2 linked regions of the Rattus norvegicus genome follow. The protein of the gene in region 2 interacts with the protein of the main gene of each other region in a biochemical or structural test. Links are inferred from orthologs where the notes say so. Each region holds a gene or a part of one and is shown on either strand. Other genes may lie near its edges.

Region 1 (3,914 bases), about 160 Mb from region 2:
AAAAAGAAAAGAAAAAAAAAAAAGTGAAAGCAAAGAAAGTCCAGGAGATAGCTCAAGCTGGTAAGGATATTGCCATGGAAACCTGAGGACATGAATTTGATGTGGGGAATCCCACAGTGGAAGGAAAGAATCAACCCCTGAAAGTTGTTCTCCGATTCCACACTCGAGTGCCCACGTACACAACAACAAACCATAAATAAGGTGCAGGACAATGGTGGTGCACACCTTTCATTCCAGCACTCAGGAGGCAGAGGCAGGTGGATCCCTGTGAGTTCGAGGCCAGCCAGGGATTCATAGTGAAACCCCATTTAAAAAAAAAAAAAAAAAAACAACGTCTTGTAGCCTAAGGAGAAGCAGGGGCTCTGGGAGGACACACCTCCTTCCCTGGTCTTGGCTGCATTTGCAGGGGACTCCCTTTGGTGGGTCAGCAGGAGAGTGAGAGGGTATCTGTGAGGGCCGTGGGGACAGGCTGACCCCACTAGAGCTCAGTGCCACTGGAAATCCTTTTGGGGGTTACTCCCAGCCTCCCAAACTTTGAAGGAGGAACCTCAGGATTCAGAGGACCAGCTGGACACTGGGAGTCACAGTCCAGGCAAGCCAAGATAATTTGAGGGTGTCGCCGTGGAGAGACTCACCCTGAAGAGCAGCAGCGTCCCTGGCACCACTGCACAGAACAGCAAGATGATCCCTTCTGCCGTGATGATGCGGTTCTTGGTGCCTTCCCCCATGTCCAGGAAGGGCCTCGGGACTTGCTCTGTGAAGACAGGGTGCTGCTTAGTGTTCTGGTATCCCTTCCTCTCCCAGCCCTGCTCCTTGCGAGGTCAGGGAACCCTGAAGCCACCATCTGGCAGGTGACCTGCCAGGGTTACAGGTTGCAGGTCCAGGAGGGAGGAGCTGGCTCTCTGCTTCCAGTGTTCTGGATGAGCCGGAGAACAGAACTCCAGGGTCAGTGCCCCTCCCTACTCACTGCGCACTCGGAGGTAAGTGCCACAGGAACGCTTTACTTCTTTGCTCTCTATCACTTGGCACCAGTACAAGCCCCTGTGGCTCTTGTTAACTTCGGGGAAGATCAGCTTGCCCATGGGACCCAGGCCAGGACCCAGTGGCATTGGGGGCCATGTGCTGTTGGACTGGAGACTGAACCACCATGTGATATTAGGGTTCTTGCCGTCGTTCTTACAGGTGAGGACGGCCTCCTCACCCAAGTTCACCGTCAGGGATGGTGGATCCCTTTCTAACATCAGGGCCTGGCATCCAGGACCTGTGGAGAGATGAGAGGAGACAGATGGGTCAGAGCCTGGAGATGGAGAAGATTGCTCCAGCCCCCTTCATGCCAGCTCTCTCAGGAGTGGAGTCTCACTGGTGGCAATGGTATCTAGAATAAGAACAGACACCGGGGGACACGCCCTATGGCCTCTTTCTTCCATTTCCCCTTTGCATTTTGTTGTTCCCCCAACCAGCCCAGGGACTCTCTCTGAAGACCATCCCGTTGGTCCTCATTCTTCATAACCCTTAGGAACCTCCATGGGGAAGGGGGTGGAGATGGGGCACACCTTAGACCCAGGCTCAGCAGTACCCAGCCTATTGGAAAAGGTACTAGAGCCCAATTCTGTCCTACCTCCCCGAATCTGTCCTTGGCTTGGTTGTTTAGTTTGGTTTTGTGCCTGGGTCATTTCTCATCTCTGTAATTTAAGTGAGGCAACCTGCCAGGCAGTAGTGGTACATGCCCCTAATCCCAGCACTGCAGAGAGTGAGTCAGGCAGATTGCTGTGGGTTTGAGGCCTGCCTGGTCTAACAGTGAGTTCTAGGACAGCCAGGGTGGCATAGAGAAACCCTGTCTCCAAAAACAAAACAAACAAGACAAAGAAACCAGTGTCGACCTAGGCCCTGGGACGGAGTTCTGCCTGGGGCATCCGAGGAGGCTTAGAGAGACAAGGGTGGACTGGTGGCCATGGTGTGGGCTCTCTGTGTTCACCTTGAGTCACTCCCACCCCACCCCTGTTCTCAGCCACCTCAGCAGCACACTGGCTTATAGCCCTGTTTCTGGACATAACAGGAAAGAGGAAGGTCGGAAGTGAGGAAGAAAGAAAGGGAGGGAAAAGAGGCCCCAGCAAGTTCCTGGTCTCAGGCTTAAGACTCAAGACAGCAGGACTCCAATCCCTGGTCCCAGACCTTCCCCTCTGAAAACCTGGGTCAGTGTGTTCACAGGGGTGGCGGAGAGGAATGGAGCACCTGAGGAAGCATGTCCTCCAGACGTAAGGCAGAGGAAAAACAAACAAACAAACAAAAACTGTTTCCCCTCACTGACACCCTTTGCTACCTCCATATCCTCATGTTCAGTCAACACTCACCTCAGTTCCTCATTCTCACTTGTGGAGCTAAGGTCGTGTGTTGTGGAGCATGGTAGTCTTGGTCCTAACAGACTTACTCAAGTCTCCTCCAGCCTGTGGCTCAGTACAGAAAGCTGTCCCTGATTCCCCCCCCCCCCCCTTCTCCTTGTCATTTTGGGACAGGCAACCAGTAAATTGCCCAGGTTAGCCTAGATAGAACTCATTATGTAGCCCAGGCTGGACTCAAGCACAGTATTTCTGCCTCCTCAGTTTCCTAGAGTTCAGGCATTGCTTTAAGAGTTGCGCTGCTGGTAGGGGTTGGGGATTTAGCTCAGTGGTAGAGCGCTTGCCTAGCAAGCCTGAGGCTCTGGGTTAGGTCCTCTGCTCCAAAAAAAAAAAAAAAAAAAAAAAAAAAAGAGTTGCGCTGCTATGCACCCCCCTGTCTGGCCATTTCTGACTCCACTCTGCACCTTTCTGTCAGCCGCATCCCCCACGGCACCTTCCCTTTGGTCACATTACCCAGGCAGGCTTCGGACAGGAAGAGGAGGAGGAGAGGCAGGGTTCGGAGGACTCCTAGACCCCCTAGCATCGTCTCCCAGGGAGCCGGTTAGTCTGGGTGGCGGTAGCCTTGAGGTACCAGATTCCACTCCAAACTCCGCCTCACTTCCTGTTCAGCCCTGCCGGAGATGGGCTCCAGTGGCCCTTACTCCTGGCCCTTTATTTGCCATCTGGTGTAGGCCCTGAGTGGAGAGGAACTGCCCTGCACCTGGCTGGCCACAATTCCCTTGAGTCTCTAGTGCGTGGGGTCGGGGAGAGGCTGGTTCAAGGCCTGGTTCATGGTCACGGGTGCCTGCTAAATCCACAGCTGCTCTGGACTTCGGCTTCTTTTCTCACTAACATTGGGTAAAACATAGCGCCCTTATCCGCCCTTTTCTTTCTAACCCCACCCCTTTTCTCTCGCTGTTCGTTTTTTTGAACGGGTTTCACATAGCCCAGGGTTGGCCTTGAATTCACCATGCAGGTCAAAGTGACCCTTTGTTTATCACCACCTTCTATTGTTTTTAATTGATGGTTTATTTAATGTCTGAGTGTTCACATACGTGTATGCATACATGTATGTATGTGTACCGTATGTGTATGTGTGTGCCTGGTGCTTGTGGAGGCCAGAAGAGGGCGACAGATACCTTGGAAATGAAGTTATAAGTTGCCCCACTGGGAGCTGGGAATAAACCCTGGTTCTCTGCAAGAACAGCCAGTACTCCTAACTACCGAAGTCAATCCCCTGCCTCTGAAGATGCTCTTGAAATCCTGGTCCTCTTGTCTCTGCCTTCTTCTGAGTATTGTGGTTACAGATGTGCTCTACCATGCCTCGCAAAATTTTTCTTTCAGTGTAAGTGATGACCCCCGGGGGACTCATGAATTCTAGGTGAGCTCTGCCGCTGAATGACACCCTAGCCTTTAAGTTCTTTTATGTCCTCTCAATAGGGCAGAGGCCATCCTCCACGTGATGGAGGAGGAAATGGAGACTCGGTAAGGGGGAGTGGTCACTTGCCCAGTGCTACACAGTCCATGTGCTGACGGTGT
Region 2 (3,814 bases):
TCCTCTCACATTTATTTAAACTTTATAATTTCCTCAGAATAGACCTGTGGAGGCCTATATCAAACAGAACAGCATAAAGACACAGAGAAGGGACTCTGTGTGCCCTTGAAGGTGACAAGTGAACAAGTATCCTTATTTGTCAAACTCCAGTAAGACAATATCACTGCACAAACATGAAGATTTGAGTCCCTTTTCCAACACCCCCCCCAAAAAAACCCCAGAATAGACAAAAATGCAATGAAGAGGGAGTGTGATGCTGTCTGTGTGTTTATAATCCCAGCACGGGAGAGACAGAAAAGGAGATCCCCGGGATGGGTGGCCATCATCCAAGCTTAGTCCTCGAGGCCCCGTCTCAGTGAGTGATGCTAATTCAAAAAGCAAGGTGGACAGGTCCTGAGAAGGAACATCTAATGTTGATATCTGACACACTTGCATACGCGCTTGTGTGCACAGGCACTCCCGTGCACATATAAACACACGCACACCGAAATTAGGAAGCACTCTATGAAGCCTCAAGAATAAAACACGGGTTGGGAAGATGGCTCAGCAGTTAAGGGCACAGGCTGCTCTTCCAGAGGACTCAGGTTCAATTCCCAGCAACCACGTGACAGCTCACAACTGTCTGATACTCCAGGATCTCACAAGGATGCAGAGACATACATGCAGGCAAAACACCAATACATATAAAATAAAAATAAATAATTTTTATAAAGACTATTCGCACAATGAGAAAAGAGTATATAATTCATTCAGGAGGAAAGTGGTTCAGGAATCTAGTGAGGTTCATTTATGTTTTAGCACTAAATTTAGCAGCGAATGCCAAATGGGAACGAGCTAGCCATATAATCTCTGTGGTTGGCCAAAGCCCAAAACTCATTTTAACATTACTGGTAAAGATGTCGATTATTGTTCTGGTCTTTTTACCAGCTCATGTTTCCTAACGCTTTTCTGTCTCACAGGAGGCTGAACTGCACGGTAAGCCCTGGTACGCTGGCGCCTGCGACCGCAAGTCTGCTGAAGAGGCCTTGCACCGATCCAACAAGGTTTGGGCACCTAAAAATCCCACATCCGCGCCCGCGGTTCAGCATAAATGCAACTAGTTGTTGCGTGGGTTAGGTGCAGGGGCTATTTCCCTGTACTCCCCTCCTCCCCGCTCGTGGGAGCACCCGTTGTTCTTTCTTCTCCTTCCTGTTTGTTTTTAATATCAAGGCTCCAGGGGGTCCACTACCCTCAAACAATGGAAAGTAGCGGGAGGCCGGGAGGTCTGGGGAAAGACCTGATGCTGCCAGAGCCCAGCTTTGGAGGAGGGAGGACAGGCTATTTGGAACCAATGAATGGGGCTTAGGATATGGACAAAGAAACTACCTGGAAATATTGTTTTGAGAGCTCAATATTGGGGACAGATGGGACAGTGGAAGATTAAAGTTTCCTTTTCACTTCCTCTGTTCTCCCATTTTTTAAAAAAAAACCTCAAATCCCTGTCAAAATGTCAGCTGGTGAGGGTTCTTTGCTCTGTTTAGACAGAAATCATCCGCAGAGCAGAAGACTATCTCCAACGAGTTAAAGTTTTCCTCAGTTTTTGCTTCCTTCTAGTCCAGCCCACTCTAGTTAGGGGGAAAAATGGCCGCCTTTTATGGGGCCCAGCGCCGCACACGGTACACTAGGGAACGTGGCCCTGGAGAGAGACTGCGGAGCGGAGCGGGTATGGTTTGGAGCAGCAACAACTTGTTTGTATGGGCCAATCACATCCTTGCTTTCTTTTGAACCAACCACTGTGGATCTCCTTAGCTAGTCCACCGGGAGAAGGGATAGTGCTTTGGCCGAGGTGGAAGTGGCTCCAGGGCTGCCTGGAGGTTGGGAGGTTAACCCTTGTTGCTCTTTCTGCGAGCCCTGGTTGACTCTGCAGCCTTTGGAGCCAGGACAGTCAGCCGCAAGGTTTTCAGTGTTGTCCCCAGGCCTCTGTCACTCTTGGGTGGTCATCACAGTCTGGCCCACTCTGCTGTAGTCCATTTTAAATGCTGTGGCTGTCTCCGTGGCTTACTTCGGGTCACACATTAAATCTATTAGACCTTACTTAGTCCCCGCGAAACCTGGCGAATTTTGTACCTTTGTTTCTGAGATAGATCTTTTTGTCTTTTTCTTCAAATTCCTCCCTATGGGTGAACACCAGTTGTTGCATTTCTTCTTCTTATCTTAGGTCATGTTTTGTCTATAATTTTTAAAATGTATGATTCTAAGCTATTTTAATAAAATATTTAATACACATTGAACTTTTTAATAGTTTTTCAACTTCAAAATAAGTCTACCAAGGTGAGTATTTTCTTCAGCTAAAAGCTTGAGTTCCCAGTTTAGATTTTTGCTTAAGGAACTTGGAAGCATAGGCTCTCATTTGAGAGACTCTCGGTTTGATCTTACCTTTTCCATGTTTCTGAATCCCAGGGAGCCCAATACCTCAGTCAGCACGTTAAACACTAGTGCCGACTTTGAGTATCCATTTTAATAAGCAGTATTTTTGGAAAATAATAAATTCCAAGCAATAACAAAAACACGGAGCTAAGTAAGTAATATTTTAAAGTGATAAAATACTCTTCACAAACTGATTTCTAGCTGAAGGAAATTAACTAATACGATCACTGTGCTTTACTCTCACTGAACAGGATGGATCATTTCTTATTCGGAAAAGCTCCGGCCACGATTCTAAGCAGCCGTACACACTAGTTGCGTTCTTTAACAAGCGTGTATATAATATCCCTGTGCGGTTCATCGAAGCAACCAAACAATATGCTTTGGGAAAGAAGAAAAATGGCGAAGAGGTCAGTAGCTGTTATTTCTCCATTTGTTTATTTCCTATCTTGAGATAAGAAAATAGTCACAGTCATAACAGGTAGCCTAGGTGGGCCCAAAACTCCTTAGCCCAGGCTGGCTTTGAACTCATAATCCTCCTGAGTTTAGGATTGTAGGAGAGGATCACTGTGGTTGGCTGGTAACTTCTCTTTAACCCAGCTCTATGTCTACCCATTGAATACAGTGGTAGGATGCTCTATTAGACGCCAGAGATCAAGGAAAGAGTGTGAAAGTACTTAGCCTCAGGGCTGTATATATGTTTATATGTTATAAGTAGAACATAAGAGGAAAGGCCATGGTTTGAAATACTGTTTAATGTAGTATACGATGTACATGGTGTAATAGTATATCTGATGGGAAGTCAGAAGAAAGTGTGATGCATACGCTAGTATTTTAGTTTAACTTTTAAATTGCATATGTCTGTGTGTATGACGTGCATGTTGGGGAGGTATGTGGATGCCCAACACTAACATTAAGGAGTCTTTCTGGATTGTTGTCTACCCGATTGCTTGAAGCAGGGTCTTTTGATTGCATATGGCTAGTCTAGCTAGCCACTTGTTCCAGGTATCCCCTGGATCTGTCTTCTGAATACTAGAAGTACATGCAGGCCACTGTGTCCACCTGGCATTCTTATGGGCGCTGGGGATCTGAACTCCCATATTTTTGTTTGCATAGCAAGTGCTTTGTCCACTGAGACATCTCCTCATCTCCTAGTTCTACCCAGTAAGGGAAATCTGATAGGATTATTAGTCCAAGAAAACCCATAAATGAAAGTTGAATTGCCAAAGCCAATTAAGGTTGTAAGAGTCAAGGTCATGAACTATCGTTCCAAAATCAAGGCCTGGGAACTCCACTCTGGTACTGAGTTAGGTGACCAGGGAAGTACTTGAGAATCCAGTACTTGATCTGAAACAGTAGGCTATAATTCTCAGACCAGAATGAGCTTATGTAATGAAATACATAGGCCTTA

The links.
Region 1: the proteins of Blnk (region 2) and Cd79a form a complex in vitro, tested with the Homo sapiens proteins (2 studies listed by BioGRID). The link is inferred for Rattus norvegicus from reciprocal best matches to the Homo sapiens genes BLNK and CD79A.

What each region holds. Positions count from the first base shown.
Region 1 is NC_086019.1:89,620,490-89,624,403, reverse strand, and holds the start of Cd79a (B-cell antigen receptor complex-associated protein alpha chain precursor), read right to left. Parts: upstream 2,945-3,914; 5' UTR 2,920-2,944; coding exon 2,850-2,919; intron 2,480-2,849; exon of another isoform or gene 2,352-2,479; intron 1,262-2,351; coding exon 968-1,261; intron 755-967; coding exon 636-754; intron 1-635. UniProt on the Homo sapiens protein: Required in cooperation with CD79B for initiation of the signal transduction cascade activated by binding of antigen to the B-cell antigen receptor complex (BCR) which leads to internalization of the complex, trafficking to late endosomes and antigen presentation.
Region 2 is NC_086019.1:249,707,901-249,711,714, reverse strand, and holds part of Blnk (B-cell linker protein), read left to right. Parts: intron 1-959; coding exon 960-1,043; intron 1,044-2,657; coding exon 2,658-2,813; intron 2,814-3,814. UniProt on the Homo sapiens protein: Functions as a central linker protein, downstream of the B-cell receptor (BCR), bridging the SYK kinase to a multitude of signaling pathways and regulating biological outcomes of B-cell function and development.